Danio rerio: one gene and its partners. The protein of the gene in region 1 purifies or fractionates together with the protein of each later gene. This does not show direct contact. Links are inferred from orthologs where the notes say so. Each region holds a gene or a part of one and is shown in the gene's direction. Other genes may lie near its edges.

The links.
Region 2: the proteins of stx6 (region 1) and vamp3 purify together in Homo sapiens (affinity purification with mass spectrometry; 5 studies listed by BioGRID and IntAct, counting the BioPlex papers as one, with this or other methods). This does not show direct contact. The link is inferred for Danio rerio from reciprocal best matches to the Homo sapiens genes STX6 and VAMP3.
Region 3: the proteins of stx6 (region 1) and vamp4 purify together in Homo sapiens (co-immunoprecipitation; 5 studies listed by BioGRID and IntAct, counting the BioPlex papers as one, with this or other methods). This does not show direct contact. The link is inferred for Danio rerio from reciprocal best matches to the Homo sapiens genes STX6 and VAMP4.
Region 4: the proteins of stx6 (region 1) and stx12l purify together in Homo sapiens (affinity purification with mass spectrometry; 4 studies listed by BioGRID and IntAct, counting the BioPlex papers as one, with this or other methods). This does not show direct contact. The link is inferred for Danio rerio from reciprocal best matches to the Homo sapiens genes STX6 and STX12.
Region 5: the proteins of stx6 (region 1) and vti1b purify together in Homo sapiens (affinity purification with mass spectrometry; 3 studies listed by BioGRID and IntAct, counting the BioPlex papers as one, with this or other methods). This does not show direct contact. The link is inferred for Danio rerio from reciprocal best matches to the Homo sapiens genes STX6 and VTI1B.
Region 6: the proteins of stx6 (region 1) and snap23.1 purify together in Homo sapiens (affinity purification with mass spectrometry; 3 studies listed by BioGRID and IntAct, with this or other methods). This does not show direct contact. The link is inferred for Danio rerio from reciprocal best matches to the Homo sapiens genes STX6 and SNAP23.
Region 7: the proteins of stx6 (region 1) and vamp8 purify together in Homo sapiens (affinity purification with mass spectrometry; 3 studies listed by BioGRID and IntAct, counting the BioPlex papers as one, with this or other methods). This does not show direct contact. The link is inferred for Danio rerio from reciprocal best matches to the Homo sapiens genes STX6 and VAMP8.

The regions. Positions count from the first base shown.
Region 1 is NC_133197.1:16,195,759-16,200,314, reverse strand, and holds the start of stx6 (syntaxin-6), read left to right. Parts: upstream 1-1,369; 5' UTR 1,370-1,516; coding exon 1,517-1,551; intron 1,552-4,020; coding exon 4,021-4,190; intron 4,191-4,268; coding exon 4,269-4,363; intron 4,364-4,556. UniProt on the Homo sapiens protein: SNARE promoting movement of transport vesicles to target membranes. Targets endosomes to the trans-Golgi network, and may therefore function in retrograde trafficking.
Region 2 is NC_133186.1:42,677,515-42,682,160, forward strand, and holds the start of vamp3 (vesicle-associated membrane protein 3), read left to right. Parts: upstream 1-1,726; 5' UTR 1,727-1,850; coding exon 1,851-1,852; intron 1,853-4,646. UniProt on the Homo sapiens protein: SNARE involved in vesicular transport from the late endosomes to the trans-Golgi network.
Region 3 is NC_133195.1:16,221,831-16,226,633, forward strand, and holds the start of vamp4 (vesicle-associated membrane protein 4), read left to right. Parts: upstream 1-1,816; 5' UTR 1,817-1,940; intron 1,941-4,803. UniProt on the Homo sapiens protein: Involved in the pathway that functions to remove an inhibitor (probably synaptotagmin-4) of calcium-triggered exocytosis during the maturation of secretory granules.
Region 4 is NC_133191.1:7,966,729-7,970,822, forward strand, and holds part of stx12l (syntaxin-12), read left to right. Parts: intron 1-2,590; coding exon 2,591-2,687; intron 2,688-2,885; coding exon 2,886-2,958; intron 2,959-3,062; coding exon 3,063-3,145; intron 3,146-4,094. UniProt on the Homo sapiens protein: SNARE promoting fusion of transport vesicles with target membranes. Together with SNARE STX6, promotes movement of vesicles from endosomes to the cell membrane, and may therefore function in the endocytic recycling pathway.
Region 5 is NC_133188.1:36,478,877-36,481,912, reverse strand, and holds the end of vti1b (vesicle transport through interaction with t-SNAREs homolog 1B), read left to right. Parts: coding exon 1-48; intron 49-892; coding exon 893-954; intron 955-1,055; coding exon 1,056-1,149; 3' UTR 1,150-2,112; downstream 2,113-3,036. UniProt on the Homo sapiens protein: V-SNARE that mediates vesicle transport pathways through interactions with t-SNAREs on the target membrane. These interactions are proposed to mediate aspects of the specificity of vesicle trafficking and to promote fusion of the lipid bilayers.
Region 6 is NC_133192.1:35,127,897-35,131,990, forward strand, and holds part of snap23.1 (synaptosome associated protein 23.1), read left to right. Parts: intron 1-877; coding exon 878-995; intron 996-1,110; coding exon 1,111-1,284; intron 1,285-4,094. UniProt on the Homo sapiens protein: Essential component of the high affinity receptor for the general membrane fusion machinery and an important regulator of transport vesicle docking and fusion.
Region 7 is NC_133180.1:28,877,676-28,882,465, forward strand, and holds the start of vamp8 (vesicle-associated membrane protein 8), read left to right. Parts: upstream 1-1,898; 5' UTR 1,899-1,981; coding exon 1,982-2,008; intron 2,009-4,790. UniProt on the Homo sapiens protein: SNAREs, soluble N-ethylmaleimide-sensitive factor-attachment protein receptors, are essential proteins for fusion of cellular membranes.

The DNA.
Region 1 (4,556 bases):
TGTATTAATATTAATACACACTTATTACATAAGTGTTTAATATACTTAAATAAAGTATATGTTTAAATAAATAATAAATAAAAAATACCGGTGGCACCATAATACACACAATGGTATCAGATTGTAGCTCATTCATTCATACATTTTCATTCATTTTTCTTCAGCTTAGTCACTTTATTAATCAGTGGTCACCACAGAGGAATGAACCACCAACTTATCCAGCATATGTTTTGGAACAGCTGTTGGCATTAGAGCTGCAACCCAGTACTGGGAACCCTCCATACACACTCATTCACACACATTCATTCATTTTCTTTTTGGCTTAGTCCCTTTATTAATCTGTGGTCGCCACAGCGACTGAATCACCAACTTTTCCAGCATATGTTTTACACAGCGGATGCATTTCCAGCTGCAACCCAGTACTGGGAAACATCCATACAATCTTACATTCACACACATACACTACAAACAATTTAGTTTATGAAATTCACCTAGCGCATGCCTTTGGACTTGTGGGGGAAACCGGAGTACCCGGAGGAAACCCACACGGCATGGAGAACATGTAAACTGCACACAGAAATGTCAACTGGCCCAGCAGGGACTCGAACCAGTGACCTTCTTGCTGTGAGGCAACAGAGCTAACCACTGAGCCACCATGTCGCCTGTTACATTTTTATGTTACTATACAATTATTGTACACATACGTAAAAGGCTACACACACATATATAAATGTTAGGAGGACTATATGTATGTGTGCTTTTACAATAGTTCAAAATATCTAAGATCTGAAAACATGGATTTTATTTTTTATTTACTGTGAATTTTCTGTGAATAATAATATTCTTATTTTATGTTAATTTTGGTGGCAAATCAAAAGGTAATCATTTTGAAGTCGGTGTATAATGATTCAGTTAAATTTAATTTTGAGGACGTAGGTTCAATATTTTAGTATGTTATAAATTCCTTTATTCATTTTCCTTCGACTTAGTCCCCTTATTTATTAGAGGTCACCACAGTGGAATGAACCACCAACTATACCAGCATATGTTTAACGCATAAACTATAAATTAGCTTTCAATTACGTAAACATTTACATATAGTAGATTTATTATAATAATAATGGTAAGCTACTTTACATAATATTGCCTGGATGATGAATAGACAGAATGCTGACTACCAACATATATTTAAAGCATTATCTAAATTAAACTAATATCTCGTAAGTATATTTTATATTTAGGCATTTTGCATATTAGTGGCAACGCTTTGTTCTTTTACTTCAACAAACCAAAACAACCCGTGCTGCTGTTTATCTGCCCAGGCGCGTGCGTGTGTCTAGACGCTCGAGGACCCGGATGTGATTCCGCCGGGCAATGGCGGCTGAGCGGATCCGGGCTCTGTCCCGCATGTAAACAACACGTAAAGCGCTCTCCTTTGTCCAAGTAAAGCTAAACCAGCCGCGGTCAGGAGCATGAGATTATCGCACCCCACTCATCGACTCATCTGAGCAGCAAAATGTCGATGGAAGATCCGTTTTTCGTGGTGAAAGGGTGAGTTTCAGGGCTTAGATCGGAGACTAGGGGCGAATATAAGATGTCGAATTAGACACTTTCAGGAATCAGATTGGAGTAACGTTAATTATTTTAAACTTTACGTACATTAGCTATTTGACTTGTCCTACGTTGATACTCGGCACCATTTAAAGCAGCTGTTTCGGTAAGATCGTTATCGTGTTGTCATGGCAACCATAATTATCGATTTTTTTCTCAAACGCTTCATAGCGTTAATCGATATTTGTGTCGTCTTCCCTTTAAAGTGGTATTGTTTTGGGTTGCCAGACATCTGCGTTTTGCTATAAGTTAGGATTTACAAATATGTAACGTTACCATGTTTGTCACTTTTTGGGGATACATATTATGGTATGCTTTTGGATAGTAACGTAATAGCATAGTTTTTTCCATGTCAGACATCCAAAAGCATTGCATTATCATAGTAAAACCTTTCAATTCAGTTCATCTTTTATTTCTATAGCGCTTTTACAATCTAGATTGTGTCAAAGCAGCTTCACATAGAAGATTATAGTAAATTGAAACAGTGTCAGCTTATTTTTGTGTTGAAGTTCAGTTTAGTTCAGTCCATTCAGTTCAGTGTGGTTTAATTTTTACTGCTGAGAGTTTAAACACTGAAAAGCAAATCCATCGATGCGCAGCTCCACTGCTCCCAAACCATGCAAGCCAGTGGCAAGGGAAAAAAACTTCACCAATTGGCGAAAGTGAAGAATTAAAAAAACTTGAGCGAAACCAGGCTCAGTTGAGCACGACCGTTTCTCCTGTGGCCAAACGTCTTGTGCAGAACTGCAGTCTAGGCGCTGTAATAAAGTGCGTGCATAATTATTGTTTAATTGTACCGATTTCACACTTCTTAAGTGTTGATTGTATGATATTGGAAAAATCTAACATTGCGATATTTAGTTATTCTGCGATATAATTATCTGATTCAGATGATTCTGCAGAAAAGTGCATCTGCAATAATTATAATAAACTATCCACAAGCATAGATCAAACAATAAAAAAAGATAAATAAACAGTGTTTTATCATTTTTACGTCTAACGTTAACTTACAAATGGTAAAATTTTTTATGCCTCTGGTTTTAAAATCCTACTGTCCAAAAAAACATGAAAATGATAGATTATACTACAGACTCAACATTGCACAACCTGCGATGTGACTATTGCGAATGACTACATTGCGATATTGATGCTGAAACGATATATTGTGCAGCCCTAGTATTGATATTGTGTATAATCATTAATAAGTTACGTGTAATTTTTTAACAAGCACTGGGGGTGTAAGATAATTATATTTAGATGTGCATATTTATGAAGCAGGTTTATTTTGACATGTCAAAACGAAGGGACCAAAAGGAGGTGTAACATTGGGGAGGAAAAAAAAAAAAAAAAATATATATATATATATATATATATATATATATATATATATATATATATATATATATATATATATATATATGTATGTATGTATGTATGTATGTATATATATATATATATATATATATATATATATATATATATATATATATATATATATATATATATATATATATATATTTTCCCAATGTTACACCTCCTTTTTGGGCCCTTCGTTTTGTATATATATTAAACGACCAAAAGAAGATCACAGCATTAATAAACCTGTAAAATTAAGGTATTACTATTGAACGACAAATACTAACTAGGGCAGGAGGAAGACAGATACATAAGCTGTCCTTAAAAGAAATCAGTATTGTATAACACTTCAGCTATTGGTTTTTATAAAGTGGGGATTTATATTATTGGGGGTTATCTATTGTAGTTTCTCATCAAATATTCTGACCAATCAAATACTCTCTAGTGTCTGACATACCCACCCCCCTCAAGATGCTTTTCATTTGCTTTATCCATTGATGCATCTTTTTTGAGATCAACCACTCTCACTGGCAGAGCTGTGATTAAAAACGAAACACTCTTGGATGTTTTTTATAAAGGAGAGGGGCTACTCTATGTCCCACCCTGTCTTCATGAATTTTATTTCAGATTACAACGAAGAAATCAAATTCAAAATGCTAATTTTAAAGCACTTCACAGCACCTTTAATTTATCACATTTTTTATAGGATCGCATCCATTATTTTTGACTTTTTAGTGAGAGTTGCATCTTTTTTATGGGCTATTTTCCTGCTTAATGATTATACACATCAGACAGTCTATTAATTTTCAATTTAATAATAATTATTCTAAATAATAATACTAATAACACTTATTAATAATAAATTACAAGTAAAATATTTTAGTATTTGGCTAAGAACGATGTATTTGAGAACTGGTCAAATTCTCTTTGGAAAAAAACAATTATGATCATATGTTTATAATTTTCATAATTATCTGCACACTCTGTAGTATTCTTGTCTACATTGTAGTAGGTCAATTAACCTTGAGGCTTAATTGAATGTATTTGTCTTAGAGAGGTGCAGAAGGCTGTAAACACAGCTCAAGGTCTTCATCAGAGATGGATAGAGCTGCTACAGGACGCGGGTGGAGCCAGCAAGGAGGAAGTGGACTGGACCACCAACGAATTACGAAACAGTTTGAGGTCCATTGAATGGGACTTGGAGGACTTGGATGAGACTATCAATATCCTTTTAGCTTAGTCGTCATTGTTTGGTCTTGATGCTGTTTATATGTTGGTTGTAGCCTTAACCTTGTGTTTAAGTATTGTGGAGGCCAATCCGAAGAAGTTCAATCTCGACGCAATGGAACTGGCCAAGAGGAAAGCCTTCATCACTAGCACACGGCAGACAGTCAGGGTGAGCTGATCTGACCGACTGAAAGCACATTTACAACTAATGTTTTAGCATCCACAGTAAAGCCTCATGTTTTAAGTCAAAATAAAGAACAGGTTATATTTTTATTATGACGTCTAAGCCTATGATAAAAACTAAAATGTACTTTTCATTTAAAAATCTTGGTATGGATTTGGATTTTAAATTTGAATGGACA
Region 2 (4,646 bases), on another chromosome or scaffold:
TATATATATATATATAATTCCCTTTCTTAAATATTTCCCAAATTATGTTTAAAAGAGCAAGGAAATTTTCACAGTATGTCTGATAATATTTTTTCTTCCGGAGAAAATCTCATTTGCATTTTAAGGACAAAATTATTATTAATTATTTTTTCTCTCTCGATAGACTACAGAACAAACCATCGTTATACAATAACTTGCCAAATTACCCTAACCTAGTTACCATTAACCTAGTTAAGCCTTTAAATGTCTCTTTAAGCTGTATAGAAGTGTCTTGAAAAAAATCTAGTCAAATAATATATACTGTCATGTCAAATCATAACAAAGATAAAATAAATCAGTTATTAGTAAAGAGTTATTAAAACTATTATGATTAGAAATTTGTTGAAAAAATCTTCTCAACAGAAATTGGGGGAAAAATAAACGGGGTCTAATAATTCAGAGGGGCTAATAATTCTGACTTACATATATAATGAATTCTGATATATATATATATATATATATATATATATATATATATATATATATATATATATATGTACATATATATATTCACATATATATATATATGTGTGTGTGTGTGTGTGTGTGTGCGTGCGTGCGTGCGTGCGTGCGTGCGTGCGTGCGTGCGTGCGTGGTGCGTGCGTGCGTGTGTGTGTGTACATACTTTATATAGGCTAATTTCTTATAATTAAAAATATATATATTTATACCAAATAGTGTAGATGACACTACACCTTACTTATCAGCAAAACAATAATTTAATTTATATTTGTATAAAATGATTAGGTATATATAAATATTCGATGGTATGTGTTTGATTAAAGGTTTAATATTTGGTTTATTCTACAAAAGGTTTGTGATTAGCATGTTTAAATTTTCAAATAAAAATATTAAAATTTAGACCAATGGTGTCTTAATTTTTTCCATAGCTGTTAAATGTAGTTTAATTATCTGTGTTTGTGTGTGCGTGTGTGTTTGTTTGAGAGAGAAAATTTTGAAATTGAATACACCTTCATTTAATAAAAAATTAAACTACAACATGTTTCATTGATTTAAACAAATTTCTAAATCACACAATATTTTCATCAAAAACCATACATTATTTTCAGCCCAACACAACATTTTTTACACTCCACATGTCTTCAAACTTGTTCAACTCTTTCATTGACAAATAAAAATTAAAATCATGTCTAATTCTTGCTCTAATAAGCCTTTTAAAAATAAGTTCAACTTTATAAATGGTCTCACACAAAATCTTGTTCCTCCTATACTAATGTATATTGCCATTTTTGCTAGTCTTAATATAAGAATAGAGAGAAAAAGAGAGAGAAATAGAGATCTTATTATCATCATTAGATTATTAGATCATTATTTTTTATTATCATCTTTATTATTATTATTATTATTATTATTATTATTATTATTATTATTATTTTACTACTACTACTACTGTTTACTGTGTTTAGTGTGTTTTTAAACTATTTATTATGTATGTTCTTTTAATGTAAACTTTAGTGCTTTGACAATACATTTGTAGGCGGTTCATTCCACTGTGGCGACCCCTGATTAATGAAGTACAAAGCCGAAAAGAAAATGAATGAATATATTTGTAACATGTCATGCCAATAAAGCAGTTTTTGAATTGAACTGAATTGAGAGAGTTTTACAATGACTGTATATTTTTATTATAACCTATGAAATTACTTATATGATGGGGAAAACTTTCACTGTGTGTGTGCGTGAGCTATATTCTACGTGCACGCGCGCGCTGACGCTCACTCGCTTACACAGTAATAACAGTTGTATCATCATCAGCGGGCCTTCACAAATCACACATCAACTCAACAACCATGTAAGTAAAATTAAAATTGCACTAGCTCAGCGATGTGATATGAACATGTGATGATATATGTTTTGCTTTTGTTTTTTTTTTAATACCTAAATATTGATGTGCTGGGAAAGTTTGTGTTGTGTTCTAATGGGTGTGAATACGGCCAAAGCAACAGGTTAGCTTTTAGCTTAGCTTTAGCTTCAGTTTGTTGACAATTTGTTTACTTTAATTTACTTTCGGTCTTGTTTTCGGTTGCTTTTATTTGGGATAGTTGATTATGACACCGTAAGTGAAGTTTAATGTCCGTTTGAGTGTTTAAAAGAGATTTGTGTTTATGTTCGCATTAGCGCTAACTTACATGCTAACTGCTTACAGTTTGTTTTGACTGATAAAAGTTTGTGGAAACTTTAGACATTAAGCATACACAAACCACAGACATATCACCATTATAATAACATATTTGTTTTGTTTTAAGTGTACAATTATTTTAATTTTGAGTGAGTTAAAAGGATGTAGTTTGTATTTGGCAAAGCTGCGGCAAATTAATCAACAAACAAGTTATAACTTACAAGCTTCACAAATGATTGTTCTTCAATCAGTTTTGTTAATCCAGTGGTGGGCAAACTTTTTAGACCAGAGGGCCACTTCACGTTTTGCAAACCAAGTAAAGGGCCACATGCCAAATCCTTCAAAACATATCTTTTATTTATAGTGGCAGTATGCTTAGAACATGTAATATCGGACAGAAACATGTCAGATTAACACAAAACAGATTTTTAAAATAATTATTATCGAGTCAAATTGACAAGTAAAATGAATTTGCTCTGCTATTTATATTTATCAATTATCATAAAACAATAAAATAATCTCTAATAGAATGTAATACTGATAATGATGTAATAATTTTGCAGCGAAGAATAGAAAAGATATTGTCTGATAGACAAAATCCCATATTAACACATTAAAAATAATTCTTAAAGTTTGCTATTTAGTCAAATTTACAATAATCTAATTTGCACTTCTTTTAGAAAATACAGATCAATCATCTTAAAACTTGATAAAACCACAAATCTTTGACAAAAGAACTTTTTAAAGTGGATGTATGGATGGAAAATATACTCTGTGTAAAAAAATTAACACATTTAACCAGCAACCATTATATATTTTGAGTCAAATTCACAACAATCTCATTTGAGCTTGTATTAATATGCTCATATCAATCATTATAAAACTATGAGATAAAACGGAAGAAGAATCTTAGGCCCCGTTTACACTAGTGCGTTTTAGTTTGAAAACGCATAAGTTTTGCTACGGTTACGCCATCCGTCCACACTACGCCGGAGTTCTCGAGCGCCGAAAACAGAGCTTTTTGAAAATGCTGGAGAGGCCGTTTTCATTCTAAAATGCTGCTGCTCCGTCTCAGTGTGGATGGGGAAAGACGGAGACATCTGAAAACGGAGGCGGGGCTGGAAACGTTTGCCTATCTGATTGGGGCTTTTCCTCAATATTAAGTAGCCCACACACAGTTCAGTCTCGCATCCTCTTCTTGTAAGTTCAGACTTCGCAAGTTTGATCAAGGCTGCAGTCTCCCCTTTCTCAGTTTGATATGGAAAACATACCGAGGACACGCGTAAATCTTCAAAGGGAACAGTGTACTTTATAACTTCATTCACATCACCTTGGCTACGTTGTTTCACTTTCTCAACAATAAAATATAAACATGATTTAAGGAACTGCCTATTTTCTTTTTAATATTAGCAACTTAACAGACAGCAGAAATGTTGAGGCGTTGTGTTGCATATATGAGCGTCATCTTCACTGTGTGGATATTTATAACAAAACGGAGCCTTATAACAACTGCCTCCTTTCAATTTCAGTGAAAATACGAAACGCACCCTCTCTTTTGCTGAATATCAGTTTTAATAATCGATAATTATAAAAGTATAACATACAATAAGTTTATACATTGTAGGAAATAAAGGCAAGCGATCAGTCAATGTACCTGGATTAATCATTAACTTATCTTTGCGCTTAACCAAAACATGTTACCCGTGAACAAGTAAGTTAATAGATTCCAATGACCAAAGTCAGGGAATTGGCCTATGTCGTTAGATAAAGACAACAACATGAATGAAATATCACGTTTAGCAAATATAGTGAGATTAGATCCAGCGGGAGATGCTTGATGAGCAGTCCGACAAGCAGAGCTCTCATCTGGGTAGAAATGCTGGAGCGCTTGCCCAAGTGTGTCTGTGTGGTCACGTGATGTGCGTTTTCAGCGTTTTGGTGTGGACGGAGAGCAGTTCAGAAACGCTGGGTAAAACGCTAGTGTGGATGCGGATCGTTTTCATTCTACAACGCCGTTTTAAAACTAAAACGCACTAGTGTAAACGGGGCCTTAGTCTTTGTTATTCCAAGTCATGTCATTATGAGTGTTAACGTGAACAATGAGCCTGAAAATAACGTTACATTAATATTAACTGCAACACTCTCGCAAAATACCCAGCTGATCCAGTCTTTGACTAGCAACATAAAAAAAGCGCAGTGTGCTCCTTTTTTCTTGTCAACAAAAAGGCAGTGCAGAGCATCCTTGTGTTTTTGGAATGTAAATGCGCGTTCAGTGTGATCGGCCTCTTAGGTTGTAGCCCTTAAAAACAGCAATATTTTTTTTGGCATATTAGACCTACAGCTTTCTGTCCCGTATTGGTGAAGAAGTATTTTGTTGTCCATTCTTTCATAAACACACGACATTCAAAGTAAAAATTTTTCCCTGACTCCTTTTCAGTCATAAAAGGTCGAGTGCATTGTAATATCC
Region 3 (4,803 bases), on another chromosome or scaffold:
TGTTTGCTCCAGCCCTAGATCATACGCCAATGTCAGCTCCAGCCCCAGAGTGCACAAAAGTGTCAGCTCCAGCCCCAGAGCTCGCACCAGGGACTACTCCTGCCCCAGAGCGCAGTTCAGTCCCTGCTCTGACCAGGCTCCTTGTCCTGGTCAGTCCCATCCTGGTTTGTTCCTCCCTGGATGGTCCTTCAGGTTCACACTGGCCCCCTGCCGGGGTCCCTGACCCGCTGAACTTTCCCTGGACTGTCCCTCTGGTACTACCGTGGACTGTCCCTCCTGACCTGGCCCGAATTAAGAATTCAGAGGCCCCTGGGCACAATGTCTTGTAGGACCCCTACCAGGCCACTATAGTTTAATTTAAAATAAGATTATTGTAATATTTTTTAAATAAAATGAATCTGTAATGTATTGCCCGCATGTTATAAATAAATGATATAGTACATAATTTTCTAGTTTACAAAGATTTAACTTATTTTTAAAGCATTTTAAGCATAAAGTTGTAGAAGAACAAGTTCATCAGATGCTGGATTCGAACTGGTTTCATGATGATCAATCACGTCAAAACATGTTGCCAAGCGTTTTACTTAGCAGCTTACTTACTTAGCAGTTAGCAGCCTTTACTTTTGTTGTCAGTGTTATATCTTCTGCAAGAAATCATATAACCATATTACTAAAACAATCAGTGACGATACTAAAGACATAATAATAATTCTCTATATTGTAATAATGAATAGAATAGAAAAAAAAACATATTATAACAATTAAACTAGTTATAAATCTTTTCAGGCGACGCAGTGGTGCAGTAGGTAGTGCTGTCGCCTCACAGCAAGAAGGTCCCTGGTTCGAGCCTCGGCTGGGTCAGTTGGCATTTCTGTGTGGAGTTTGCATGTTCTTCCTGCTTTCGTGTGGGTTTCCTCCGGGTGCTCCGGTTTCCCCCACAAATTCAAAGACATGCAGTTCAGTTTAATTGGGTAGGCTAAATCGTCCGTAGTGTATGAGTGTGTGTGTGAATGAGTGTGTATGGATGTTTCCCAGAGATGGACTGCAGCTGGAAGCAAGTGGTGTTCGCTGCAGAGGCATTTGAGGAGAGCTGAGCTCCAGCGAGGGGGAGCTTAAGCTTGAGCTCCACCTTTTTTGCACTTCTTCTACGAGTGATGTCACTGGGGGTAGGGTTAGGGGTGGGGTTGGTGTACGCATTAAAACAGCTTACAGGAGGAGGAGCGACAGCTCATGCTCCCCCTCGCTGGAGCTCAGCTCTCCTCAAATGGCTCTGCAGTGAGCACCCTCTCGCTGGAAGGGCATCCGCTGTGTAAAACAAATGCTGGAGAGGTTGGCAGTTCATTCCGCTGTGGCGACTCCAGATTAATAAACGAACTGAGCCGAAAAGAAAATGAATGAATGAATGAATTATTTTAATCAGAAATTCTAACATATACTGTACTTTTACCATTCAAGAGCTTATATTATAAAATTGTATTTAGTTGTAGCACCGTTGTTTAAACAGGTCACTGATTTTGTTTGTCACAAAAACAACAGGTATCAATATGTTACAATCCTTAATACAGAAAATCATTGCTAATGTTAATCATTGCTAATGTCAAAAAAAACTGCAAACAATATTTAACAGACTTTGGTTTGTTGGCAAACATGAACAATGACTTATCACTCTCTTCCAGGTATAGGTTACATCACACTACCTCGAAAGATGATGTTGTAGTATTTTATCAAAAGATGATGATGTTAGTGGTGATGACGGTAATGATGATGATGCGTCTGCAGGAAACACAATTAGTCCAGCTGTTCTAGCTTCCGCTCCAGAGCCGAACGAGAGACAGCATTCAGGACTCGTCCCAGCATCCCATCACACACAGATCAGCAGGATTACAAACACACCGACGCGGTTTCTCCAGACACTAATCGACAAAAGCAGGATCTCTGAGGTACACCAGCCGGAGTAACAGCTCTCGAGGCCTGCATGGATGTGTTTGTGTAGCGGTCAGTGATGACAGAGGTGTTAGCCGTCATGCTAGCTGTCATGCCATCTGTTTTCAATTCAGTGTTTCCATTCCTCCACTAACGTTAATCGACATGCAAACACGATTATTCAATTTCACGCTTTTTCGTTTTTCCATAAAACCACGTCTTATCGTTTGCTTCGATCTCCGATTAGCATAGTGTTTACATGGTTGACTAGCATAAAGCTCTGTGTAGCAGATGCATGCCAGGAAGATTAAGTTAGCCCTGTTTTAAATTTATTTAGATATTAGCGGTAATGTACTGATTTGTTATTGCTCTAAAATGAGTATGTTTAGGAGTTGTCTGTTTCTTAATGCAAATTGTGAGCATTCTGAAAGCCAAATAGGCATTGAATCCAGATCTACACTGTACTGTTTTGACAAATGAATGAACCGTTTTGTTCCAGTCTCGTATTGTTCACTGAATGTTGAATCTATCCGTTTCAGTTTAGTTCTTCTCTTTATTCTACTCAGTGATTTTGTGATTGTCATTAGTTTAGACTGAGTTATTATTTAAACAGAAAATCAAGGCTATCTAATTTCCTGAATTATGTAAGCCCCATCATGTTTGAGGGATCTCAGTGTTTCTTTTAGCTGTTCGCTGACCTGTGCTTTTCATATAAATCATTTAGTGGCAGCGATGAAGAAAATGCTGGAATGATGCCTAACCTGTTGGTTTTGTTTATGAGCTGTTCCGTGACAACATGAAGCATGTGGAGGTTTTAATCAGTGGGGTCACTTGTTATGTCTGTAAACAGTTTGCTGTCAGCATGCTCATTGTGGATCTGGTGGTTTGTATTGACAACAGCAGGGACAGATTTCTGCTTTCAGTTTCCCTTGTTAACATTTCCAGTCCACACGATTGTCCATTCCATTGATGCATTTGCGACCCTGGATGAGAAAACCAGTATTATGTTGTTAAAGTAAATTTTTTTTTTGTCTGGTTCAGAGTTAAAAATATTTATTTCATAAACTCATGTTCCATGACAATATTTTGTATATGTCCTATATCAAAAGTAATAATGTGCATCGAAGAACTTAATTTGAGCAGTTTTAAAGTTTTCCATTATTATTTTAACTCTTCAGATTCCAGATATTCACACATACCTTTGCAAATATTGCTCTATTCTAGCAAACTATATATCAATGGAAAAGCCTATTTACATAACTTACAGATGATGTATACATTTCAGTTTTAAAAATGACACGTATAACTGGTTTTGTAGTCCAGAGTCCCATCTATTCATCAGTCAATCAGTCCATCCATCCATTCATCCGTCCGTCCATCCATCCATCCATCCATCCATCCATCCATCCATCCATCCATCCATCCATCCGTCAGTCAGTTCATCCATTCATCAATTAATCCGTTAATCCATCCATCCATCCATCCACTTGACTATTGCACATAGTTTTTTATTAAATTATTATAGTATTATAATTAATAAACAGATTTTAAAAGATTTAAATCACAAAATGAAAGTCATTTAGACCTATTTTTGTCATTCCAATTTACGGTCTCAATGAAAAAAAAAAAGTCAATTTGATTTAAGTAACCAAACAGTCTATGATTGTATCTTTATTGCAGTGCTTTAATGGTTTCTGGTGTTGTGTTACTGTATGTGTTGAGCAGTGATTCTTTTAAACTAAACTGATGCTATTAAGGCTGCACAAAATATAGTTTCTGCATTGATATTGCAATGTGCGCTTCCGCAATAGTCACAATGTTGAATCATACTTGACCACGAGCCACAGAACACATGTGATTTGTTGTCTCTCATGAGTTAAACCATAACAAAGTTTATTGATTACATGTGTTTTAAGGCCTGTAACTGTGTAATTCAGGAGAGTTTGAAATATTTCAGCACAAAAACAGGATGTTTGGAGGTGTAACAGATTAGTTGTATTTAAATATTAATACGATTTATGTAACATTTGACTTGGACTTTTTGTCTTGTTTCTAGTTCTAGTAGTAAGTTAGGCATTGGACGATATCTGTTTTCAAGGTATACCGTGGTTTAGAAAAGTCAAAGTTTTAAAACCATCACAATTTTTTGCAATATTGTTCTTAAGGTATGAGTAAAATTTTTCATTTATGTTTTTATTTATTTATTTATTTTTTTATTTTTTTTAGGAGAGCAGTATCTCCAGCAGAACAAATATCCAAAGATGCTGTTTTAAATTGTAAAAAAAAAAAAAAAAAAATCTGTTTTTAAAACAAATGAAGACAGCAGAAGTCAGTAATTTATTTAGTCTGACATGTTTACTGTTTTAAGATATTTTAAATGTTTCTCAAAATAAAATATATTGTGTTTAAAGAGGAAAAACTTTCCTTTTTTATACCTAGACATTAAAAAATATACATTTTAGACCAGTAATCACAATACCGTGATACCATGAAACCATGATATTTTTATCCAAGGTTATCATACTGTCAAAATCTTATATTGGCCCATGCCTTAGTCATTCATTCATTCATTTTCTTGTCGGCTTAGTCCCTTTATTAATCCGGGGTCGCCACAGCGGAATGAACTGCCAACTTATCCAGCAAGTTTTTACGCAGCGGATACCTTTCCAGCCGCAACCCATCTCTGGGAAACATCCACATACACTCATACACTACGGACAATTTAGCCTAACCAATTCACCTGTACCACATGTCTTTGGACTGTGGGGGAAACCGGGTGCACCCGGAGGAAACCCACGCGAAGGCAGGGAGAACATGCAAACTCCACACAGAAATGCCAACTGAGCCGAGGTTTGAACCAGCGACCCAGCAACCTTCTTG
Region 4 (4,094 bases), on another chromosome or scaffold:
AGCAAATAATATAAATATTACAAACATAAACATTTGGTGAGCATGTTCTAGTGTAACCCTGTGTCCTAACAACATGCTACTTGACGAGATTTGCTGTGATAACCAATTTGGCTGTTTGCACCACACGCAACACAAACGGAAATTAAAATACAGCCATTCAGAAGCACAGAATAGTGCACTTACTGCACTCCAATATTTTGGTTAGGTATACAATCTAATTACTAAATATTTAACTTCTGTAACATTATTAAATGTACATGCTGAATCACTGATATGGGTTGACTTGAACTGAATCACAGTTCTAAAGTTCAATCTCAAACGGTTTATTTTATTTTCAAGATCTGAGGTAAACTATCTGCTGCTGCTTTCAGTAGAATAGCAATAAATGGCATGTAAAATGGCATTCAAACTCACATTGTTAGCATTTAACACTGAATAAAGCACATGATTTGTACCTTAGGTGATTATTAACAGTTTTCTGTTGTTCACCTGTGAGAAATACAGTAGAAGTTGTTTCTAAAATAGAACTGTCAGGGGTTTGTTAGGACAAAAACTCATTTTAATATGGCAAATATTCTTTCTATCACGTGCCGTTGCTTTTATTTAAAACAAGATTTAAATCAGCCTTTAGGGTAGTCAGACTCGCTCCTATTGATGTCATCAAATCACAAACTGCGCTTGCGTGTGGTCATCAGAGCAGGGGCAGAGTGAAAATGTGTTTTGAACCAGGAGTGCAATCCCTAATTGAACCACTGGATGTCAAACTTACATATTCCACCTTTAGGGCTCTATTTCGACGGTCCATGCGCAGAGCGCAAAACGCAGGGCGCAAACGCTTTCAGGGCGTGTCAGGACGCGTTTTTGCTAATTTAAGGACGGGAAATCTGCCTTGCGCATGTTCTAAAAGGGTTGAGTTTATTTTCTTAATGAGTTATAGGTGTGTTTTGAGAATAAACCAATTAGAGTCTCATCTCCAATTCCCTTTAAGAGTCCGCTGCATCGCGCCAAGAGCGCATTTGCTATTTACAGGACGCAAAGTAAGTATAAGTGGAAAAAATGAGCACTTCACTAGTAAACAGTTAACAGTTTTTTAACCGAAAACTGTTAAACAGAGCATCTACTGCATGAGAATGAGAGATAATAGATCACTTTCACTGTCGCTCTTGGATAGGGAAACCTTTACGCACAGACATCAATTAGTCTATAAATAAATAATTTTGTTTGTTAAGCGCAAATATTCGTTTCAAAACTATTTCTAAATTCAGTTCTAATTTCCAGCAAACGAATAAATGAATAATAATAGCAAAATGTGCTCAAAAACCTGAGTTATATCCTCAAACACATGCTGTGCCCCATATGGTCTAAAACCTGACAGGTGGGCAAATCTAAGCTTGTTTTTAATAAAACAAATATAAATATGGATATAATAAATAATACTGCTAATAATAATAACATTATACAAAAGCAAATTGTTATGAATGAACTGAAAAAGCCTCCCGAGATAAAGAATATTTATGTAGGCTAGAAAATAATATGTTTTGTAATATTTTAATCCTTTATATTTATATTTTAAATCTATTCTTATTATATACTATATATATCCTTAATATTTAAATTTTTTCATATGTAAAGATATTTGCCTATTGCTCTCTTGTGCGTATTAAGCAGTGCGTAAGCGAGGCGCAACTCTGCACCGGAGTTTAGAACAGGTTAGTTTTGGTCTAATGAAAAATCTATTATAGTTTCTCAAATAGCAACGCGCCAGCGGTCCGCCTCAGAACGCCTTCCTTTTTAGACCAGAACGCATATGGACGCAAAAATGAGCGCTAATGCATTTGCTATTTAAACAGCGCAGCGCAACGCCTCAAAACGACTCTTGCGCCAAGCTGAAAACTACCAACAGACTACTGCGCCGCGTCTTGCGCCACACTGCGCCGGGTGTATGATAGGGCCCTTAATGTTAACTCTAATTAGCCTTCATACATTATTTGACCCTAAACTGAACCCAGGCATCCAACACCCTCATGAGCCTTTATTTTGATCAAAATAGACATCCAAAACACAGGATACAGTATGTATAATAAGTTGATTTAAAGGTCCCATTCAATGAAAAAAAAAGGTGTTAGTATAAGTATGTTAGTGGTAATGCTATCTATAAGCTAGTGTGCTCAAAAACAGTGATACAGTTTGCATGTAGTAGATACAAACATCCAAAGCTTGCAGTTTGTCACTTGGAACAACTTTTTTTAACCTTACCTCATACTTCAGTTCCTCATCAAATCTTTTAACCAATCAAATGCTCTCTACATGCCCTGCCTCCCTTCAAGATGCTTCTCATTTGCTTTTGATTTGATGCGCTTGATCTCAACCACTCTCACTGGCAGAGCTGTGATAGAACTAAACGCTATTGGCTATTTTTTTTTTTTAATAAGGAGCTACTATATGTCCCGCCCAGTCTTCATGTTTCAGAAAAATGCACAATTCAAAGCACTTCACGGAACCTTTAATGTGTATCTATTTTTTAAATGCATTAATACAATAGTAAAAGATCTGAAAGCTGAAATATTCATAGCTATTTTTATTTGAAAAGGAATGAAGGCTGGAGAATGCAGACAGAAGAGGAGCCTGTCACAGAAGAGGACCTTGAGCTTATTAAAGAAAGAGAGACCAATATCCGTCAGCTGGAGGTGAGCACACCTTACATACAAAAATCCAACATCACTAAACAACAACAATAAGAATAAGTAATGTCCTGAAGATTCATATGCATTCAAACACTTTTTTTAGTTTACTAATTTCTTACATAATTATTAAGACTATTGTGTTTATGGGAGTTGTCCGATTTTAAAGTATTATGTGCTATTTGCTTTCTGGTCTTGATTTAGTCAGACATTATGGATGTGAATCAAATCTTCAAGGACCTTGCTGTTATGATCCACGACCAGGGTGACATGATAGGTAGGTTAGTCTAGTTATTTCTAAACTGTTTTAAAAGGCATTTAAATTTCCACACAGTTATTTTGTTTTGTTGAACCCTGGTTTTGTCATGTCATGATACACAGATAGCATTGAAGCCAATGTAGAGAGTGCAGAGGTGCATGTGGAACGAGGGGCCGAACAGCTCCAGCATGCTGCATATTACCAGGTATGTTCACCATGGACATTTATATGACATTCATTTCTTTATATATACAGGGGTTGGACAATGACATTAAAACTCCTGGTTTAAGACCACAATAATTCATTAGTATTGTGAAGGGCCTCCTTTTGCAGCCTTATTCTAAAATGCGGAAGTGCGCCTGTTTTCGCGATTGTCTTAGAACTTCCGTTTCAGTCACCTATGGGAGAAATGACTAGGAATAATAAACGGCAAAAAACGGTCAAACTACTTGCTCTACAAACAAATGTTTGCATGACTATACAGACCAAGTAGAATAATATAACAAGGAAATATCAGTTTGCAACATCAAACAGCGAAACGAGCAATTTTTAATGTCTAAAAATGAATGGAAGTGAATGAGACCGGAAGTCTCGTGCCAAAAAGATTCAAATGGCAGCGCCCGCTCGTCTGCGTAGAATCAATACAGCATCAATTTGTTTTGGCAATGACTGATACAAGTCCTGCACAGTGGTTGGAGGGGATTTGAGCCATTCTTTTCGCAGAATAGCGACCTGGTCACTACTTTATGCTATTGGAGAAAATATTTCCTAACTCGCTCCTCCAAAAAACCCCAAAGTGACTCAATAATATTTAAATCTGGTGACTGTGCAGGCCATGGGAGATGTTCGACTTGCCTTTCATGTTCATCAAACCACTCTATCACCAATCCTGCTGTGTGTATTTTTGCATTACCATCTTGACAAACGGCATCGCCTTCAGGATACAATGTTTGAATCATTGGGTGCACATAGTCCCCCTGAATGGTTAGTTCTTGGCCGTGATGCGCCCATCTAACACAAGTATTGGGCCTAGGAAATGCCATGATGCCATCAACAGTACAAATTTACTAATTTGACCTTTTCCCAACAGGGGAAACCAGCAACAACCAAGAATGCTTGATTGTATGGATTATATGTCATGGCTTTGCAATAAA
Region 5 (3,036 bases), on another chromosome or scaffold:
GAGGAGCTCGGAGAGCAAAGAGAGCAGCTGGACCGCACCAGAGATAGAGTAAGGCTGTGTTCACACTAGTGCATTTTAGTTTTAACACAATGTTCTCAATTTAAATGTTCCATATTGACAATTCCCCTGCATTTCGTAAAGTATATACATGTCAGAAGCTATAAAAGCTATAGAATTACTAAAGTGTAGCCTATATACAAATATTAGATCAAATAAAAATTGTTATTTGTTATTAAAAAAATACTAATGTTGACAGAAAGAAGTTGCAATTAAGTTAGTCAAAAGTAAGTAAGTCAAATCCTATGATAGTTAACCCTATTCATAACAGAAATGGATCTGTTATAAACATATTGTAGCAATCTAAGGTTACACTGTGAATTTTTGTTTGGAAACCAGATAAAACATCATTATTTGTCAGCATGGTGTGACTAGCAGTGAATGTACCAATGGCCGTTTAAATTGAGCATATGAAAAAGGCTTGACGAGTCAGGAAAGGATATGCAATAACACAGACGACCAATCAGAAAGCAAATATGGGCAGCCAGGCTCTTTTTTTTCTCTTCAATGTCTGTTTTGGTTCATTTACACTAGGGGTGCCAAAACTCAGACCTGGAGGGCCGGTATCCTGCGTAGTTTAGCTCCAACTTACTTTAACACACCTGCCTGGCAGGTTCTAGTATAGCTGAAAAGAGCTTGACCTTTTTAGTTGTGATGGGATCTCTAGCCTTTCCAAAGTAGTATAATATTGATAATTGTAATAAAAATTTGTGCGTTTTAAAGTGCTAATGTAAACGTAGCTTAAAAATAGCCAAAAAAAAAAAACAGACAAATGTTTTCTATGGGTTCACTTCCTCTCTCTTTCTCTCTGTCTCTTCTCTTGCTCCACTATCAGTTGGTTAACACTGGAGAGAACCTGAGCCGGAGCAGGAAGATCCTGCGCGCAATGTCCAGACGGTAAGCCTTGCACTCTTATGAAACACATTTTGCATCACTAGAGTTGTTTCCAAATCCTTTTTCTGAGAATTCACTGTATGAATTCTTTCCTGTCATTTCAGGATCGTGACGAACAAACTGCTCCTCTCCATCATCATCATCATGGAGGTGGCCATCTTAGGGGGTGTGGTGTACTTGAAGTTCTTTCGCAAGTAGGCAGTGAGATACACAAGACTCTCTCCCTTTTCTTCTTCCTGATTTTCATGAGTTTCTGACCTGGCAACAATGTGCTGGATGCTTTCGTGACTGTTAGTGTCACATGGACTTGTATGAGAGGTTATTTTTAGTGCTAAACTTTATAAGCATAAGCACCGCTCTCAGGGTGAGATGAAGACATTCACCATTGTACATTGACTTCTGGAGGACTTGTGTTAACAGGAGAAATTGTGTTACTTCACCCTCAGCGGTTTAAAAAAGATGCCAAGGTGATCTGGTGGATGGTTGAATGGTGTAAATGAAGCATCCAGTGGAATGAGTGGAAAAAGAACATATACAGTATATTATATACATCTCTTTTACAGTGCTCAATCACTTTAGAGGATAGTTCACTCCAAAATGATGTAATTCTGTAGTAATTTATTGACTTTTTGTGTCAATCCAAGACATGTTTTCTATACTGTGAAACTTTTGGATGGCACTGAACTTCATTGCACTGCTAAAAACATTCTTCTGACTATTTTCTATTGTAATATATTGACCAAAATAGATTGAAGAAAGTCTTAAATCTTTGGAGTTGCGTGTATGTAAAATATTTTGGAGTGAATCATCCCTTTAAAACTGAACTTTTAAGTAAATTGTGTGTTAAATTAGTTTTGTTTTTGAGGTGGCATTAAAGGTATCATCTCTTTGTTTTTGTTCTTGAAATGGGTGTTTGTTTTCCTTTTGTTTTTCCACCAATCAGCCAAACAGAGCTGAGTTTACCTCAGGCCAAGAGATTGACAGCTATAAACAAGCTAGTCATTTTATTTGTGAGCCCTGATTGGTGGAGAAAAGGGGTGTGTTTGGCCTGTCAGATAAGGGGGACAGATGTTACTGTAAACATGACTGATATTAAAGTGACACAAACACCTGTTATATATTAAAGACTAGCATCGAGGGCCGTCAAGCCACTTTGACATACTGACGTTTTGCCTGCTGACTGATGATGTTTATTTCTAGTTCTCTTAAGAGCAAAACAGCAGACATTTGAGTAGAGTTATTTCACAGTGGTATGTTTGGGATTTGATTTGAGGTGTGAGCAGGTGATCGACCTGTTTTTTAATTTTAATCCATAATCACATTCCACAGTCATAGGTAGGTGATATGATACATTGTTTGGATTACAAATTGGGCAAAACGGATGATTTAACGGATGACTCTTTCAAATCAATCAAAAACATAAACAAAATAATGACAATTTAAATGACATTAGACCGTTTATTTATTAAACTTTATACTGAAATGAATGGCATTGTCATTAATACTAATGCTGAGAGATATGAACAATAAAACAGTAAACTTAGGTGTGCAGTGTCAGGTCGTACACCCTTTAAATAAATTCTTCTAAGGGTGTAGCATTACAATCATTCATTACAATTCAATTCAATGTATTTGCGTAGTGATTTTCACAATAACTTTTGTTCCAAAGGAGTTTTCAAAAGGTGCACGTTATTATGTTCAACAAAAAAATGCAGGAAAACGTTAAGGTGTTGTGTATTCAGCTACAGTATACCCTCACCGGCCACTTTAGTAGATACACCTTACTAGTACCGGGTTGGACCCCCTTTTGCCTTCAGATCTTCCTTAATGCTTTGTGGTATAGCTTTAATAAGGTACTGGAAATATTCCTCAGAGATTTTGGTCCATATTGACATGATAGCATCATGCAGTTGCTCAGATTTATCAGCTGCACATCCTTGATGTTCCACCACATCCCAAAGGTGCTTTATTGGATTGAGATCCATCAAGTAATCATCAGAAGATGGATACACTGTGCTCATAAAGGGATGGACATGGTCAGCAGCAATATTCAGGTAGGCTGAGGCATTGTACTAATCGGCCTAA
Region 6 (4,094 bases), on another chromosome or scaffold:
TTACTGTTCTAAAACATATTCTTTTTAAATGTCGGGATAGAAAAACATGTTTTTTCCCTTTTGAACACAACATAATTTATTTTGAGAAACCTTTATAATATTTTGGAGCAGTAAACATGTCGGGCTGAATAACTCAAACGAGTCACTGACTTTTCTGTCTTATTTTGTTTCAAAAACACATTTTTCTTTACCATTTAAATTGTCATTTTTGGATATCTTTTCTGCTGGAGATACTGTTGTCCTAAAAAACAAAACGAATCTTACACATACCTTAGGAATGGTATAGCTGAAAATTTTGGCGGTTTTAAAACCTTGACTTTTCCAAACCGCGGTAAACCCTGAATACGGTTATCGTCCCATGCCTAGTATGCAACATAATACGCTGTAAATGAATGTCCAGATTAGATAAACATATTTTTTATAACTTTTGCATAAATTTATAAAAAGATGCCATGTTTCTATTTATTTTAAACATGCCATATTAGTGCTTTAGCTTCAGAAGAGCCATGAAAGCAAAATTCCGTGGAATAACCATCAAATTCAGTCTCAACAATTTAGAACAAATGTTCATTTTGTTGAAAAATTTTTCTGAATGACAATGTTTTTATTTGAAATTCATAGGAAATGGCAAATGAAGCTTATAAAAACAAAAAATAGTTAACATTTTACTCAAACCCATGCCTAATAAATGCAGAGAAGCATCATTTTCAAGGCATCTCTTAAGTTTTCGTCTCAGTTGTTGTAATCTGTTACATCTACATTTAGGACAAGCTGTATAGTATTATTTTTTATATAATAAATATATAATATTTTTATATAATAATAAGTATTTATTTTTTATTTAGTTTATATTTATATTTTTTTTGCGTTTCATTAGAGCAACTGAGGCGAGTTGATCAAGGAATGGATCAGATCAATCAGGACATGAGGCAGGCTGAGAAGAACCTCACAGATCTATCCAAATGCTGTGGTCTGTGTGTGTGCCCGTGTGAAAGGTTCGATACTCAGGAAACAAGATATTCATTATATTCAGTTATAATTGAATCCTCAAAACTATTTTAATTAGATGTCTAGGCTGGGGTAAAGAAGAGTATTAAAAATCTTTTACAGAGTGACCTCCATTGAGCATGATGGGAGATATAAGCGGACTTGGGGCACCGGGAGCGACAACTCCAGCACAGAGGGAAAAGAGGGTGGTGTTGTATCCAGCCAACCGACTGCTGTTCGTAATGGACAGGCTGTTTCGGGTGGATCATCGGGTGCCTCTGGCCCCTACATCAAGAGGTGAGGAAAAAATACACTGAGAAGGATGGACATTGATAAATGTGATATCATATTTGTTGTTATAGCAGTATAATGCGATGAATCCTGTTACAATTAATTCAGAATGACCCTATAATTAATAGTTATGAAAGTATAAACATTAATTTGCAGATATGTTTGTGTCATTGTGTTTGTTTGCTTGTTTGCTTGATTGTTTTATTTATCTGTATGATATAATATAGACGTAAAAAATTAATTGTAGTTAGTTAGAACGGATTCAGTGCTCAACTAATTCCACAATATAAATCTCAATGTTAACAAAACATGCATTTCCTTTAAAAATTCAATTGGATTGAGTCAGTCATGCAGGATTCCAGATAGGACATGCAAGATCTTTACTATCAGGAGGAAATTTAACATTGTGATTGATGTCTAAATCCACTTTTTTTTGGCTGTAATCCTTCTGTTTATACATTGGAAATACATTTTTAACCACACAAATTCAAGTTTAGTTCGAATTAGTTTAGGAAAAGACTCAGAGAAACCAACCGTCTTGTATTAATTCTGGAGAAAAAAAATTTATAATGCTAATATATTGATATAATGCAGTTGAGTAATGTCACAAAGGCAAGAGTTCTGCAGTATCAGCATGTGAGAGAAGCCATTAAAAGCCAGTATACAGCAGCCATGTGTTGGGCTTATGTCCTTCTCCTGGCTTCAGTCCTGCTACTGTTAATACTTTTTATGGAGCTGTGCCATAATTTGAATAAGTTTCCATCTTGTTGCAAGTCAGCGCATCAGTGTAGATTTACTGTTGAAATGTTGTTAAACATTATTTTACTGCATTTGACAAGAAATTAACTTCTACTTTTTTAAACTTTGTATTAACAAATTCACATTTAATCCAGCGTGTAAAGTCACTGAACATATATATATATATATATATATATATTTATATATACACACACACACACACACACACACACACACACACACACACACAAAGTCAGAATTATAGAATTATCAGACCCCCCCCCTTTTAAATGTTTCCCAAATAATGTTTAACAGAGCAAAATTTTTACAGTATGTCTAATAATATCTAATCTTATTTGTTTTATTTCAGCTTGAATAAAAGGAGTTTTTAATTATTTAAAAACCATTTAAAGATCAAAACTATTAGCCCTTTTAAACTATATATTTTTTCGATAGTCTACAGAACAAGCCATCATTATACAATAACTAATTACCCTAACTAATTAGCCTAATTACCCTAACCTGTCTAGTTAACTTAATTAACCTAGTTAAGCCTTTAACTGTCACTTTAACCTTAAATTGTTAAATTATAAAATAGCATTAAGAATGTAATCCGGAATCTACTCCAGTTTTGCAGATTAAGGATTTCATGCCAAAGATGATCAGTAGAAGGACAAAATTACAGTAAAAAAAAAAAAAAAAAAAACCAGAATAAGTATAAATCTTGCATCACTTTATTTCCTAGTGTATAATGTTACCTAAAAATAAACACTTGTTGTACTTGTTGGTCAGGTGGTGACTTCCTGTCTAAGCAGGCAGTTCAAGACCTATAATAAACTACAATATGTCTCTGTTTGGTGGCATTTAACTACTATTAGGACTCATTGTTTTTACCCTGCCACATCAAAATCTGCAGCTGGACTCCACATGTACAGTTTGTTAGTGCTTATTTTTGGACTGTTACAGCGGATTTTTAATTCCTCATTAATTATTAAGATGAGTCACCTTAAAGGGTTAGTTCACCCAAAAATATAAATTCTGTTATTTATTACACATCCTCATCTAATAGAAAATCAGCAGTTCAAGTGGGAATGGGAAGATCATTCCACCAACATGAAACGTTGATTAAAAATGTTTTGGAAAGTGACTTGGGTCTTTTTTGTGATGGTGCTCATTTTCTAAAAACCATTATCAAACATTCCATGTTCAACTTCAGTAGTTCAACTGTAATCATAGTATAAATTTGCAGTTGGTGTGAATCATAAGCTCTCGCGGGTCAGATAAATTGATATGGCAGAGTAGGCTGGAATTTGATATTTCATTAATTTGCATATAAAGCACAAATAAACACAACAATAGTTGACCACTGTGCTGTAGAACGAGGCAAGAAGGATATCAAATAGATAAAAATATACTTATAAATACAAAACCCTGCAGACAAAAAAAATTATAAAAGTAGAGTTAAAAGTAAGCCCGCACAGAATCTGTGTGCACAGTAATCCGCAGATTTTAAGCCCATCATCTTTTTCATCTAAGCCCACCAGTCTTTTTATTTACTTGTAATTCTGTGTAAACTTATATTAATTCAGTTTTTTTTTATTAATTTCTGTTATATGATTGACTAATATGAAAATGTTCATATGATTTATTTACTATGCAGTTTGTAAAGTCATATTTTCTGTCTTTTAGTAGATATATATTATAATAGACACTTGCTTTGTTTACCAAATAAGTGGATCTAATTGGATTCACATTGTAAAGTTTCATATATTAAGTTTTTAGTTACGATATTCCCAAAATTTTTCCTTACAAATCCTCAGATTCTTTTTTTACAAAACTCTCGACAGAAATAGCAAAAAATGTCTGCAGATTTTGTCTGGACCTAGTTAAAAGCAAGCATGCAAAGATGCAACTGTAACTTGGATTTAAAATGATTGAAGGAAGATGCAGATATCACAGATAGGGGAGGATTATTCCACATAGATGTTATACATGTGATATAGACATTTGTTTTTACAGTTGTTGATTTTTGACACACAAAAGTAGTTTGGTTCTTTTTCTGTACTTTGCACATATTG
Region 7 (4,790 bases), on another chromosome or scaffold:
TGGATTAAGATTATTAATTATTATTAATTATTGTAAATTTTGCAAGTGTTTTTTGAGGCCTGTCACTGTGTAAAAGTTTTAAAAGCATTCAGGCATAAGAAAATATACTGTTTTTAACTTTAAAAAATGAATAACGATTAATTTTATGGAATTGTTAATAAAATGAAGACTATGCAGTTTTATTTTACATTTGATTATTTAATTACTGTATACTTGAATACACTTTGACTCTTCGGAAAACAACAAAACTGTAAATTTAATTGGCATATCTTTAATTTATCTATGCTTGCAGATTGTTTATTATACAAATATTGTGCTCAATAATATAAATATTATGCTTATTATATAAGACTTATTGTGCTCAAACTTATTATATTATATTTTATGCACTCCCTGATAGAATCTTCCCTATTTAAAATGATAGATTCTTTACAAATATTAATTCAACTCATCTTATGAAATTGTATTTATATCATATATATTGCAGAATAAAACAAATTGCAATGTGTAATATTTCCATCCCTTATTCTCACTGTTCCTGTTCATTAAGGGGAAAAAGTGATCTAAATATTTCAATTTTGTTTATCCATTCACTGTACATTTTTTTTTTTTGTAGGCTTCCCTCTGCCATGGCTACTAATCTGTCAGTACCCTTGGCTTTCGTGGCCCTTCTGCACTTGGCTAATGAGAAAGTGAGTACTTTAAAATAGTTCAACGCTTACTATAGACGAAGATCTAATAAATATTCAGTGTTGATTTACTGTTAGCATGCTGTCTTGTTTAAACTTGTTTTTGTAACCTGCATGTAGAAACCTATTGTTTGTGTATTTAATTGCTGTGAATCTAAAAGTGGTTCTTTCCATCAACAGAACTTGGAGCTGCACAAAATTGATGGCATGACTGATATCATCATTAAACAAGGCCACTGAAAATCTGACACAAATCTTTTATGCACAAATTGTCATTTGTATCAAAATGTAAATCCGCTTTCTTTTGTTCTCCATGGCATGTAAAAATACAAATGTCGGGACAAAACAGTATAGCCAAGAGGAGGAGGAGGAGGAGGAGGATGATGACGGTGGTGTCAGGATTATGATAATGTTGTACAGGGAAATACCAAACCACAGACTTTTTTATTGATATATATATATATATACACACACACAAGTGAAAGTGAAAGATGTCAGAAGCATTCACCAAGAGGAAAAAACTCAACATGGTGCAGTTTGAATAATGTTTGCTTTTAAAATCAAGCGTTTTGATAACTTTAGCAGCTTCAGTAAAAAGTAAAAATATTAATGTGCTGTTTTCAGTGTCACTGTTTTTTTATTGCATTATTTAAATTGTAAAACATAATTTCTTAACTTTGAGGTTTCTTTTAGATGTGTATTGTACATACCATTTTCAAAAATAAAACGTGTTGTCACATTTATGCTTGGTTTTGTGTCTAGTATGATTTTTTTTTAAATAGAATAATGCTTTAAATGCATGCAATGCCAAAGGCGTTTAGGTGGAGTTGTTGAAGACGTATTGTGTTTCATGCATAGGAATTGAACTATTTTAACTTTGTTTTTAAGCAGTTTTCATCATGCTTGAAATTATAAACTTCTATAAATACCACTGAGTTTAATCACACATCAGTACTTTTAGAAAACTCACTCTAATCCGGTTTTACAAGACGCTTCTCATACCTGCCGGGAAGACGTCTAGATGGCATGATTATAGTATTTGCACTCACCTTACAGGTGTGTTTGTGAGATGAACCCGGCGCCATCTTGAGGATGCTATGGGAAGTGTCGCATCAGAGGTGGGCCAAAGCCAAGTCATTCGCTGCTGGAGGAAGAGTGAATTAGAGACCAGGAAGTGTTGACACGGCGTACATCTATCGGTTACACTAGAAAACAGTTGCAAACATTTTAATTCTAAAGGATAACGTGTATTTTTTATATTGTGGAGTAAATAAAAAGAAGCTGGTGAAACTATGGGTGTAACTGATCCAAACAGTACGGTAAGTCACTAATTTTAACAACAGTCAGCAGGTGCTTTTTGTTGCATCGTTTTTAAGTTTATAGTTAACAAAACTGTGCGAACTTAATTTCTCTTGATATCTGTGCGAATGTTACTTTTAGTGGTGCAAACATTAGAACAAGTCAGTGTGTGTGCGTGTCTTGTTTTTCACCGGTTGGTGTTAGTTTGACGCACTCCAAACAGGGCGAAGCTTGTTTTTCAAGTTTTACTTAAGTTTCTACGTTCCTGTTGTCAGCAAATGTAGATAATTTGCTTGGTTATCTTATACAAATGTAATGTTTAAATAACACATTTATACTTGAGATTAGTACCGTTTATATTGGAATTTTCTTGTACTGATTTGTTTACTCAGATGGATTGAATTTACCTTGAGCTTCGAAGCATAACCGGTTTGCATGATACTGTTGAGCTCCACTCTTACTGAATGGGCCCTCAGTTTAGAAATATATTCACAATAACTTCAGCTTGCAAATGTGCTGATAACATAACACATCTCTTTGACTGTTAAACTGAACCAGAAGTGTTAGGTCCTCCTGCTCGTTTGCTTCAGATCAGGTTGGTCAACTGTCAACACTTGGTTTTAAAATCATTTCACAAGTTCCACTCACAGTGTAGAGACTAACGTTACTTCGATGTATGTGGCATTGTGGTTAAGATAAAGTTTGTCTGTAGTGTTTTAAATAAATAATATATTCAATTTGTCATTTGAATGCTGGTCCTTGAAGGAAGCAAGCATGTCGTTGTTTAATACAAATATTAAAGAAACTCAAGTTTAAGAAATGGAAAATTACTTACCCTTGTTGCAAACCTGTTTGATTTTTCTTTCTTACATAAAACACACAGATATGTATTTTGAAAAAAGCTGGAAACCTGTAACCATTGACTTGCATAGTATTTGTTTTTCCTTCTATTGAATTCAGTGGTTACATGTTTTTGGCTTTCTTTCAACAGAAGACACTCAAAGGTTTGGAACTAATTGAGGGTGACTAAATAGTGAGTAAATGTTCTTTTTTGGGTGAACTTTTCATTGAAGATGATTGTTTATCCCATTATATATCTTTGATACATTTAAGTTTTAATTAAAAAAAACAGTTTCAACAAAACATACTTGCGGTTCACATAATACCAAATTATATTCTTTTTAATTATCATGTTGTTTCTGTCACATTATAAAGTGGATCGCACACATCACACTATTTTGCCACAATATTGGTACCTCGAACTGCCAGTATCAGATGTTACCTAATAGCTTTCTGCCATCCTGTAGGTCTTGTGACACCAACACACACACACACACAAAGAGAGAGCCATTGAGTATAATAGAAGGGCAGGACAGGTAGTGACGCAACAATGCTTTTGGTTTCCTGGTAACTCCTTTTGTTTATGAGGTATCTGCCGAACAGGAGAGCTTAAATGTGTTTAAAATGGCTGAACGTGTAAAAAGCACAGAGAGTTTACTCTTAAGACACAAATTGCACAATTAACGGCTAAAGATTGCTTCCATGAGACTTGTTCTATGTTTAAGTGTAGCAGTATTTTATTGGTGCTTTAATGTGTGAATGTGGTTAGGCTTTCTTGTTTGGTTTTGCGAGTATCACACATAAGGTGCCACATCTACACTACAGGCGAATTATACTGTATGATGTCTTGGAGTTGTTTTTATTTGGATTAAATATTCTGTCAAATGCAATTGAGTCACACAAATTCAGTTTGTTGTATTTGAATTATATTTCAGAATGTTAAAATTGGCATTCATCCAATCCTATTAATGCAATGTCATAAAATACTTTTCATTTCTCTAAAATACTTCAAATTTACAATACTTTAAGTAAAGCAGTAAATACTTTTGAAGAAGAATGTTGATGTTATTGCATGCCTTTTACATGTGTAAATATATCGCAGTGTTGCACACATACTGTACACATCATGTTGGATATATTGGATCTTTCCATGCTCAACATCTAAAAACCAAATGATCAAATAAATTATTATCAAATTAATTATTAAACCAAATTCAAATTGTGTGCTGCACATTTAAGATTATACAGTATATTAAAAATAAATACATTTGTAAAGTAGTTGATATAATTCTCTAGTAAACCAATGTAGTACTAAGCTCCGATATCTCTTGACCAATAATGGACAATGTTGAACATTAATGTTTGTACTTAAAAATGCACTCTATGTAATACCGTTGACCTTCGTACACTTTCTAATCTAATGTCTATCTTCTTTCATTTATTAATTTTCTTGTCAGCTTAGTCCCTTTATTAATCTGGGGTCGCCACAGCGGAATGAACCGCCAACTTATCCAGCACATTTTTACACAGTGGATGCCCTTCCAGCCACAACCCATCTCTGGGAAAAATGTCTATCTTATCCTTTTTAAATAAAACTTCCTAGCTCTGACTTTCTTCTTCAAATACACTTTTATTTGTTCTAATACTGTCTATAGAGGTTGATCTACTTCTAGCACTAACAATCTGTTTTCTGTACTTTTTTCTTTTCTAAATAATTTGGCCTTCTGGCATAACGCAGTTTTCTTTTTCTCTCTCTCTCTCTCTCTCTCTCTGTCAATTCAAATCAATTAAATTCAATAATTGTGTTATTTGCATGACAATTGTAAGAAATGTATTGCCAAAGCATTCATAAACTTTACTTTAAAAAGAACATGCTTGTAACAAATAAGGAATGGTTAACTATTTTGAAACACAGATGATCACAGGTAATTCAGATTCATGGAGAGAATTTATTTGGAAAAA